Linked DNA regions of Drosophila melanogaster. Changing the gene in region 2 together with the main gene of any one other region gives a genetic interaction. Each region holds a gene or a part of one and is shown on either strand. Other genes may lie near its edges.

What was found.
Region 1: of D (region 2) and ind, changing one enhances a phenotype caused by changing the other (phenotypic enhancement), as found in Drosophila melanogaster (one study listed by BioGRID).
Region 3: of D (region 2) and vvl, changing one enhances a phenotype caused by changing the other (phenotypic enhancement), as found in Drosophila melanogaster (one study listed by BioGRID).

Annotation. Positions count from the first base shown.
Region 1 is NT_037436.4:15,042,257-15,045,938, forward strand, and holds ind (intermediate neuroblasts defective), read right to left. Parts: upstream 1,669-3,682; 5' UTR 1,609-1,668; coding exon 646-1,608; 3' UTR 543-645; downstream 1-542. Other genes in the region: Rpn12R (regulatory particle non-ATPase 12-related), read right to left, coding at 1-248.
Region 2 is NT_037436.4:14,177,021-14,180,777, reverse strand, and holds the start of D (dichaete), read left to right. Parts: upstream 1-2,157; 5' UTR 2,158-2,209; intron 2,210-2,285; 5' UTR 2,286-3,439; coding exon 3,440-3,757. UniProt on the Drosophila melanogaster protein: Essential for segmentation and CNS development. May modulate the actions of other transcription factors, including gap and pair-rule proteins.
Region 3 is NT_037436.4:6,788,129-6,791,885, reverse strand, and holds the start of vvl (ventral veins lacking), read right to left. Parts: upstream 1,729-3,757; 5' UTR 1,061-1,728; coding exon 1-1,060. UniProt on the Drosophila melanogaster protein: Binds to a DNA sequence element required for the expression of the dopa decarboxylase gene (Ddc) in specific dopaminergic neurons. Could also play an early role in specific ectodermal cells, and a subsequent role in the embryonic nervous system.

The DNA.
Region 1 (3,682 bases), 870 kb from region 2:
AACTGGGCCATATATCTCTCGAAGGCAGCATAATCCTTGATGGTGATGCTATGTTCCACGGCGATTTCCAGCATCTCCCGCGATTTGATTAGCTGATCCTTTTGCTTGGAACTCGATGCAGTTTGGATTGTTCCAAAGTTTGACCTCACCAGCTCCAGTTTGAAGCCATCCAGGAGGCGGGAGCAGTGGGTGAGGTTGGGCGCATGTTTGCTCCACTCGTTCTTCAATTCGGTGTACAGATTCGACATGATTACAGCAAAGTCTCGACAACGACTAAATTTTTGGGAATGAAAATTTTGTTCGTTTTGATTGACAGCACAAATTTGGAACGAAATATCGACACTAGCGTTTGGTATTTTTAGGGATATTCCAGGGCTGCTATATATTTATTATATTCATTTAATTGGTTCGTAATTTAAAATTATTTAGTATTTTTTAGTAAAGCCATCTTGGGCCAACTTAGCTGCTAGATGTGAACCCACTTTGCATAAATAAATCATTGCTTTCTATTATGGTTTATCTATCCCAAAAACGTCGTTTTTCATTTTGATTAAAATTTATTTACTTTAACATACTTATGACTGAAAACAGACTAAAATCTACTGTACAATTACATTATTCTTATGGTTTAATAGGTGATTGATTCTACGCCTCAACCTTCAATTCGTGGACTTTGACTTGGGGAGACACTGGAGATGCTTGCGGACTTCCATTGGAGTTGGTGGACAGATTGAAGGTGGGACTTTCGGAGCCGCCCTTTTTCTGCTTGACTCGGCGATTCTGGAACCAGATCTTCACCTGCTTCTCGGAAAGGCGCAATCTATTGGCGATTTCGATGCGACGTAGGCGGGATAGGTAGGCGTTGTGCGAGAATTCTCGCTCGAGCTCCAGCAACTGGGTGCTGGTGAAGGCAGTGCGGATCCTTTTGCTGGAATCGGCATAATCGTTGATCAGCGGCGTGATCTCGACGGGACCTCCCGAAGAGTGGTTCTTCAGTGGTGAGCTATTCGGAGAGCAGGAGGACTCGTGCTTGAAACGCTTTCCTTGAGGTTCATCAAAGTTATTGGTATAATCCAAAGAGGCGGACGATGAAGCGGACGGTGATGTGCAGAAGCTTCCAGGTTCCGGTAAGGGTAATCCGCCCACAACTGGAGATCCGTAGAGGTTGTGTATTGGCGGCAATTGCTGGGAGTTGGGATTGGCCGAGAGCGGTGGCGATGGATAACATCCTTCGTAGTTGCTGAATCCACTGGACTTCCTCTTGCTGGCGAACAGCTGGGCGTATGGATGGTAAAGGGAACCGGGACTCGAACTGACATGTGGATGTTGCTGCAAGGCAGCTGCTGCTGCTGCGGCCGCTGCTGCAGCTGCTGCGTGCTGTTGCTGCTGCTGCTGTTGTTGCTGCTGCTGCTGGATGCCCAAGGAGAAGAGATAGCTGCCCACATAGCTGGCCGGGTAAGGAAGCATGGGTATCGATGGTAACATGGCAGCTGCGGCCACTGCAGCAGCGGCTGTAGGACTTCCTCCTGGCGATCCCAGTTTCTCCTTCTTCTGGCTCAAATTGGGCCTATCGCTGAGTAGGGAATCCATCAAAAATGAACGCGACATCTTGGGTTTCTGGGGTATTTCGTTTTCCAACTGATCTCGAGATGAGCTACTGAACACGATCGCTGACTGTGCGAAACTGTCTGGCTGCTGCGCCCTCACCCGGTTCTTATATACCTCGAGACTCTGTTCTGGGGGTTGGTTTGCCACTTCCACACCCCTGAGGGCCAATTCGAGGGTTGTTTGAGCGAGTGTGTTCGGCCATTTAGTCACCATTTAGCAACAACTGTTGCCATTTACGCTCCGCCCTTGTTCGATCACTCACAATGCCGCAAATGGCAGGTAAGCGATGATTCACTGTATCTGTGCGAAAGGACAATGGCGAACCCTCCTTTGCCATCCTGCCATACATATGTATGTGTGTGTGTGTGGGCTTGGGTGTGTGCGATGGGACTGTATTGGTGTCCCTGTGGAACGAATCAGTCTTTCCAATTCGTATTATCACTCGAGTTTAATTGAAAGTTGAAGAGAGTGCGTAAAAGCTTTTTAAACGGAACTGAATTAGTTCAGCCTAAGCTAGATCAAATTACATTATTGGTATTTCGAACTTTCAATAAAATCATCAAGCAGCTTATTTTATAGACAGTGTTAAAAATGTATTTAATTAAAAATACAAATTTTAATTAATAGTTTTATTAGAAAATCCATATATATTGCTTGCATATATATTTTTTTTTAATTTGCCTAGTAACTTATGTTTGAAAAATAAACAAATGCAACTTCATAAAACTTTAAGTTATGAAGAAGCATCAAAAAAGTCATTATAAGCAATATTATCATATGAGCAGATATTGTATTTATAAGCAGTTCGTTCATTTTCAGGCTTTTACATATTGGCTTTTTTTCATCATTGTTAGGTTTTAACGAATTATTTATATTTTTATGGTAAACAAATCAAATTATATTAAAGTGTTTGTTGTGTAGAAAAAGACAAATAGCATCCATAGCATTCTTGCAAAAATTATTAATATTATAACCATCTGTTTTTACTTACAAGCAAGCGCAATTGTAATTCTTTTTATAGGAAGATCTTTTAAATAGCCAACGAAATTTACACAGTATCTTGTTTGTAATTTATTGCATTACAAGAAAACCTCTTCAGTGACCCTTCACAATCGAATCGATTAATTTTACAACCATTGAAAACTGCAAGCCCTCCAACCGTTTAATGCCAATTTCATGGCAACTTATGGCCCGAAGTGGTGGCTGCCGAAATCTCGAATCGAACCTTTACTTCTACAACTCCCGTTTACCAGACCCTCCAGCACATTGGGTATATGTATATGTATCTCTTCTTTGAGTCCTAGTCCTCGCCTTGGCGTAATTTTATTGATGCATTCTTCTGCTTGTGCAACTACGGCGAACAATGCGGCAAGGATCATCCATTCAGGACGATCCCATTCATGGATGCAGTCGTTTGGTCCTTTGACAAATCCAAGACACGACGCACGTTGCGCCTTTGTTTGTGTGTATTTTGGGCCAGGTCGGGACATTTAAGCCAGACAGTACGTCGCCGAAATGTTGTTCTTGGGCTACATTACACAGAATTATGGCGGCAGTTTTATCATTTGTTAACTGACTTTAGGGATTTACCTATAATTGTCCTTTTCATGGCATTGTGCCGAGGTGCGGCATTGTCGCCCTTCTGCCAGTTGATCGTATGTTAAGTGGCTATAAAACCGATCACAATTGCTGACGTTAATTGTTAATTGTCGACCGACTTCTACGTAGGCGATCCGAATGTTCGCCCACTTTTTAAGGTTTTTAAGTATTTGGCTTCTGCTTAATTGGCGGGCTGTGCAAAAAAAAACAAAAAGGAATCTGGACACTGGTCAATAGCGAAATCGGGAGCAGATGCTGTTGTGTTAATATTTTTGTTGGAATTTCTGCTCTTTGGGCGTTGCGTTGGTCTCGTGCGAGAGCTCCTTTTGACCGCCTTTTAACAATTGTTTGGGCCACTTGAGATTTTCTCCATTGGCCACTTCCGTTTTTTGTCTGCGATTATTGCACGCTCGATTGATTCGGGTTTCCTTTTTATTCACAATTGGATCGTGCTATTGACTTAGACTTCGTCTAT
Region 2 (3,757 bases):
ATAATAATAACATTACTGTTCGTTCCCATTTCATAGATTTCTTTTCATTTTATGCAAGTTTTTCCACGAAAATGATTTCATTATCCCTAGCTGGACCTGCCATCCCCTAACTTTTCACATTCTATGAACATCAAACGATAAGTGCGCTATAATTTTTCATTTCTCCAAATCAAAGCGAAGCGAAGAAGGCACCAGAAATTCAAAGCAGAGAAAGGGAAATTCGTGAGCATGCCAAAAATGCTCTTAACTGGAATGACATGTGAAAAGCGCCAAAATCTGTGAGGCGATCAAATGGACACGTACGTCAGGAAGCAGGAAAAATCAAAAAAGAACTCTTGTGGGTGGAAAATGGAAATGCAAAATGAACAAAGGCCAATCCGAAAACGTGAGAAAATTCAGTCAAAACGATTCATTTTATAACTGCCGACGCCAGATGGTAGGCATAACTCCAAATGAGGGGGAAAAGAATATATAACTTGCAAAAATGATACGATATATATGCCATATCAATAATTGAACGATTCAATCAACTGAACAATAATGGGAATGTAACCTCATTTGCCTTTTATATTCGTTTTAATTTTTTCATTATCATTGAATCCATTCTGGACATTGTCAAGTCTTACATTTGCGCGATTGTTCCTGAATTTAATTAAAAAAGAATGAATGACAAAAATTATATTTGCGGAATACAACAAATAAAAATGAAACCAGCTCCCCAAATGACAATTGAATGAAAACAACAACAATCAACAATCGAAAACAACAACAATGCAGGAACGAACAATAAAACGCGAGTCTTTCTCTTTCACCGCGGAGAATCGGTGAATTTCGAATGGGTTAAGCGGTGAGGGTGATTTCTGGCGACAGGATAATGGTTAATATTGTATTCGAATAATAGTAATCACGGCACAACTTGACTCATCTCTCACCTGCCATTATGCGATCAAATTAAATTTACATTTATTTAATTTTCAACTGCACTCTGATACTGTATTTATACTGATAGATTTTTATCAGATAAATATCTGATAAATAAAATGTTTTTCAGTTTGCACGGCACCATAACAAAGAAAGAAAATCTATTATTAGCTTAAGTAATTATTAAATTAGACAGAAAACATATTTAGAGTTTATTTATCCAACTACGAGTATTAGAAGTTTATCATGAATTATTTTACAACTTCCACTAATTTGAACAATATTCTTAAGACAATTTTGATTGTCACTATTCCGCAAAAATGAAATTAAAAATGCATCAGCTAGCTTATTTATTTATTGAATTTGATAGCAAAACACATAAAGAGTATATGTGCTAATAATTTAAAACGTTTATCCTTATTTGTTTTACTCTTTACACTTATTTTAACTGGATTCTAAAAGAATATTTATTTATATAAAATAAGGAATTCATCATAAATTGTATCACAAATGTAACAATTATTTATGCCGCATGTGGGTGGGGAGCGATTTTAGGAAACAGGATCCTGCATTCATCCTACACTGTGTGCTATTATCACTCACTTAGTGTCCTCGTCTGCTAAGTGAAATGCTGAAAACTCAGAAAGAAAAATGTGACGCGGACAAAACTTTTTCCATTACACAACGTACAACAGTTTTTGCTTTCATTATTATTTGAGATTCGTTGTTGTTGCCGTTCTACGTTGTCCTTTCTTCCTTTTTTGGGGAAAGCAGACACAACGGAAACGTTGCGAACGCTGAAAGCTTTTTATGCTCTTACGCTATGGGCCAGGTATAAGAGCTTTGTAAATGCAATTGGAAATTGCACTAAGCTTTGGTGCATCGTTGTGTGGGTGCGTGCATGAGCAGGAGAAAGGCAAAGAGAAGGGTGGGATAAAAGCTCAAAGGGGAGAATGGTTTTACTTTTGGGGTTATGGAGTTTTAAAAAATATAATAGAATATTGCAACCTTATTCCTGAAAGAAACATTTTTATTAAAACAACGGCTCTTGGGGTCAAGATGTTGTTTAATGAAGCAATGTTAAACTCTTACAATCTTTGCATCACAAAAGCCATAAATTATGTCTTCGTTTCGAAAGAGAGGTAAATATGTGTGTTAACAAGAATTTGAAAACTTATTATTATTATTTGGGAAACTCTTTTAGTTACGAATGAAAAAAACATTAGTTTGCGGTAGATTTAATTGTCAATTATTCGATTGCCCTTGTCCTTTCAATCAACATTAAAAGGTTTGTTTTCTTTTGCTACTGCTTATTTGGTAAACCAAAAAGAAAAGCTGGCTAAAACATCTTTTCTATAATAAAGCACAGAGGACCGTTCTACATGCATCTGGGTGAAGATTTGCCTCACTTCCACTGGCTCCTTTGTGGGCTTCTTTCTATGGCCAAATAAGTAAATAATTGCAGTAATATCCTTTCTGGAGCGGCCAGGAAGAAGTGGCAAAAAGGGAACGGAAAAGAATGGAGAAGAATGGCGAGCGAAATGAAAGAATGCGAGAATGGAGAGCGGGGCAAGAGAATGGAAAGCGTGTTTCCATGTCCTTTTCACAAACTAAAAAGTCCTTTCACACACACACATAGTACTGACTACAGAGTACACATAGAGAACGGTATATAGCAGAACACAGACACCCACAATGGACAAAAATTCACACCAAAGACCCATTGTGATTGGCCCAACAAACACGCACACACATACGCGGGGAGAGAGTTGTGTTCTCTCCCTCTCTCGTTCTAACTGCATAGGAGATGCGGAAGTGCAACGCCGCCGTGCAAACAATAACGGAAATTGTGTGCCCACTGTGCGAAAATCAATGTGCTCCCGCGCTCGCCCTGGCTCTCTTTCTCTCTCTCGCTCCGTACTTTGAGCTCCCCCTGCCCCACAGGATTGGGGTCGCTAAATCGAATAACACGAAGCACAGCCGAACGAGAGCTGCCTGGCTTTTGGCTCTATTGAGCTCCTCTATTGAACACACCCCTCAATGGGCGAACAACTATAACCGATATAAAGGAGCCAATGGAACAAAGCCAGTGGAACAATGGGCCGCAAAACGAAAGAGAGAAGACGCTATGTGTGAGTGAGAGCGCGACGACGGCGCAGCTCTCTCCCAGGTAAGAAGCCCAGCCTCTATCCCGCTCGCACCCACGTGGCTTACGTAAAGGTAATGGTGCGAGGGTTGCTCGCACTTCGTGCTCAACTCTCTTCCGAGAGAAACGGGATTTGGCTGCAGTCGTGTAGGCCGCACTGGAACACTACTGAAATCAGTCACAAAAAAGCAGTCGATCCGAGCAGAAGCAAAGCAAGAGCAAAGCAGAAGCAAAAGCAAGACAGTAATTGACATAGAGACAAAGAAAAAATCTGAGAAATCACAGTTGAACCACAGACATATTGTGTTCTAGAAAGTGAAGTGTTGATCTTGAAAGAAGCAAAAGTTAAACAAAGTGTTCAAAATAGCTGGAATGGCCACCTTATCGACACACCCCAATTACGGTTTCCATTTGGGTCAGGCCCAAGGCTTGGAGGACTACGCACCGCAAAGTCAGCTCCAGCTGAGTCCCGGCATGGACATGGATATCAAGCGTGTGCTGCACTACTCCCAAAGCCTGGCAGCCATGGGCGGATCGCCCAATGGACCCGCCGGCCAGGGTGTGAACGGATCCTCGGGCATGGGTCACCACATGTCCAGTCACATGACCCCGCACCACATGCACCAGGCGGTCTCCGCCCAACAGACCTTGTCGCCCAACAGTTCCATCGGATCCGCCGGCAGTCTGGGT
Region 3 (3,757 bases), 7.4 Mb from region 2:
TGCAGAACCACACGCGTACCACCTCCTTCTCCAGCTGCAAGGAGTCGGCCAACGAGGTTATCTCCTGGGCGGATGGCTTCGGCTGCTTGTGGAAGTGCTGCTCCAGTGCCCCCTTCACGCTCACCTCGATGCTGGTGCGTTTCTTGCGCTTACGCCCCTGAGCGGCGATCTTGTCAATGGACGTGGGTGAACCCGTTGTGGAGTCCGCCTCCTCCAGCCACTTCTGCAGCAGCGGCTTCAGCTTGCACATGTTCTTGAAGCTCAGCTGCAGTGCCTCGAATCTGCAGATGGTCGTCTGGGAGAACACATTGCCATAGAGAGTGCCCAGTGCCAGGCCCACATCGGCCTGGGTAAAGCCCAGCTTGATTCGGCGCTGCTTGAACTGCTTGGCAAAGGCCTCCAGATCATCGGACGTGGGAGTGTCCTCCTCGCCGCCGCTTATGGCATCCCGATCGCCGCCGCCCATGTGATGGTGTATGTGCAGCTGTGGCGATTCCCCGCGCAGCGTATGATGCAGTGGCGCCACACTCTGATGATGGGCCGCTGCAACCGCATGGGCCGGATGATGGAGCATTCCGTTCATGGCATGATGGTACTGCAACGGTGACCCGCCCGTTGGCGCATAGTGTCCCGCATGGGGGGCATGCCAGGCGGCATGGGGCGAGGCCATGCCCTGTTGGATGCGCGTCTGCTGCGAGAGATGCGACATCTCCTGCTTGACGGTATCAGCGGCCGAGGCAACGGCAGCGGCGGCGGGCAGATGGTGCGTATGATGGGTTTGCATCCACGGATCCGGATGGAGGGCACTCCATGAGCCCAACCCGGAACCGGAACCCAATCCAAGTCCGCCACCATTGCCCTGGCCATTGGGCGATGGCGACGAGGGCAACTGATGGTGGGCAGCTGCCGCGGCAGCGGCATGATGATGATGATGGTGCTGCATGTACTTCATTTCACCGGCATCAGCCGCCGAGCGCGGCGACGAGGTGTGATAGCCACCGCCTCCGAGGGCCATGTCCAGATCACCGCTCGGCGGCGTCATGTACGAGGTCGCGGCCATCCCCACCGCTCTGGGGCTGTTCAGGCCCTCCACGCTGGCGGGGTAGGGCTCCAAGTTGGGGCTCAGTTTAACGACTTTGTACACCGATCGATCGAAAGGAAGACCAGGGTCCCTATGCTCATTCCACTCGAACCGTGAGGCAACCGTCTTGACGTCTTTTACGGGCAACGTGGCAGGCGCAAAAATATTCTATTTCGCTTATTTTGTTTTTTTTTGGGTTCGACGTTTGCTTTTTTGGGGGCGTGGCCCTCGAACGCGTTCAACAAGTTTATTTCAGCTTTGGGTTAAGTAAAAAATCCGACGGCAATTTGCTTGGGGTTTCACGTTTATTTAGCTTGACTAGCGTTGAGCTAACTGCGTTTTATTTGGTTATTTATTTAGATTTTTTTATTTTCGAATTTCATTTAGCACTTCTAACACTTGGCACTTTTTGTGGCGATTTTTCGCAACGATTTAAATCATCGATAGAACTCAGTGGTCAGAACGCAGAACTCTGATATTCAGATACAGATTGAGATTTCTCGAATGTGTGTTTCTACTGGGTTGCTTGACCGATTCGATGCCGATTGAGATTTGAGATTGTGTGTTGTGAGATTTGAGCAGTCAAGACAGCCGAGAGCCCAGGGAAAATTCACGTGCAGACTCGTAGAGCTATCGAAGTGAACTAACGTCATGTCTCGCACCGCAGCTCTACGTTGAGCGCTCTCGACGCTCGGCGGTACGTCACACCGATACGTTTACGCACACCAACGAGCGCAGTACGCACACACACCCCGGCGAGCGAAACCAGTTTGTCCGCTGGCCTTCCAGCGTTCCATGTGTGCGAGCAGCACCGCCATTGGTGCGGCAAGCGAGATAGACGCTCTACCGAGCAACTGGAAGGGAGACTTGCGCTCTATTGGGCTCGCTGTATTCCAGCGTTACGCCCCCAAAACCAACAAAAACAAAAAAAATATATGAGATGAAAAAATAATACCAGAGCCGGCTCTACGAAGTTCCCTCAGTGCATTCCCATGCAGAGTGACATTTTTAATTGCCCAGTGCCCAGTGCGAGCGAGAGAGGGCGAGAGATGATATGAACGGCGACGGCGCATCTCTCGATTTCTTCGAGTCCAGCTATCGGGAACACAGGGATTACACGTAGTGCCATCTCCCAGTTGGAGCTTTTGCGTCCAGGACTTCTCTCTCCCGTTCGGGGAGCTTTGTTTCAGTTCCTTGCAGCTCCTTGGCCAGACAACTTTTCCCTTGGCTTTGTGAGTGTGTGTGTTTGTTTGGGAGGGGGGACATCTGGAGTGGTTGCCATTGCGATTTGAAGAACATATTACTAACGTGGCGTAGAAAAGGAATTAAACAAATAAACAGTTTAAATATTTAACTATTTATCGTTCATCCAAAAAAGTGTGCATAGTAAAAATATTTAAGAGCAAATAATATTTGATTATCAATATGAAAAATAAATAAATCTTGAACTTGAATTTGGACAATTCAAATTTCGCTGAATTCTGTTGAAAATATTTTTTATATAGACCGTGTCCCATTAAATATTTAACCAATGTGTTATATAAGAAAATCTTATTTGTATTTTTTCAGTTTATAATATGTGTGAGTGAAGCTTAATTAAATTAAAGAAAGTAAATTAGTGTTTAGTATGAAATGATATTTAAAATTTTCGTTTAAAAAAATAACCATTTTACCGATGAATATTTTATAATTTTCTTTTTCATATGCATATAAGTTTCGTTTGGCTGCCTACATAAAATATACCTTTCTTTTCCACCTTGATATCTTTCTTTTGCTCATTGTGTTTGTGACTGTGTTTTGACTGCTTTACAGTTAAATTATGTTTCACTGACAAAAGATATTGATTCACTTCATCCGTCAGTTTCATTGATTCTATGATCAGTTTTGCGAAATTAATGCGAAACTAGCGATACATTTGCATAGCTAAAGGAATTGCCATCGTTAAAGTTATCATTGGAATACTGACTTTTGTTTCTGGCTGTGCAGTTTTAAAGTTTTTTGATTTAGCGGAGCGTTATGGGACAATGCGAAGAATCAAATGAAAAATATCCGTAAAAGTTTATGTTTCCTAAAACAATGAATGAATGAAACTCTGCACACAATCAATGGAAATCTATTTCGCCTTCAAAGCCAATTGCCGTCAAATGTATATATGCAGACATAAAATAGCTTATTTAACCAAATTTACCTTTCTAAAAAAAAAATTACTTATTATTTTCCCACTATTTCCCTTAAATATGTCAACATATATTCAGAATTTTCCCACTTAAAAAATATATTTAATTAATGCATAAAATGTTCAAAGCTACCCTCTCATATATTTTCTCATTTAATAAATCCTGGCACACATAACTAGCCCAAGAATCCCATAAACACCCACCACAAAATACTTAGCATAGTTTTAGACCCCTTTGAGGCAGGTCAAGAGCTCAATCAAAAAATTATGCAAACTAAGGTCATCCAGCCGAGCAGACGCAAGCCAGACAAGTTCGAGCGTATTTGCATGAAATTTGTTTACGTTTTTTTTTCCATGACCATATCCTTTGGCCACGCACTTGGGCATAATTAATAAGCCAAGCGTTTCCAACCCAAAAACCCCAGTGACAAAATAAAGTCACAGTCATTGTTGGTCCTTAGACAAAAATTTACATGATAATTAGGTGGCGGCGCTAAATA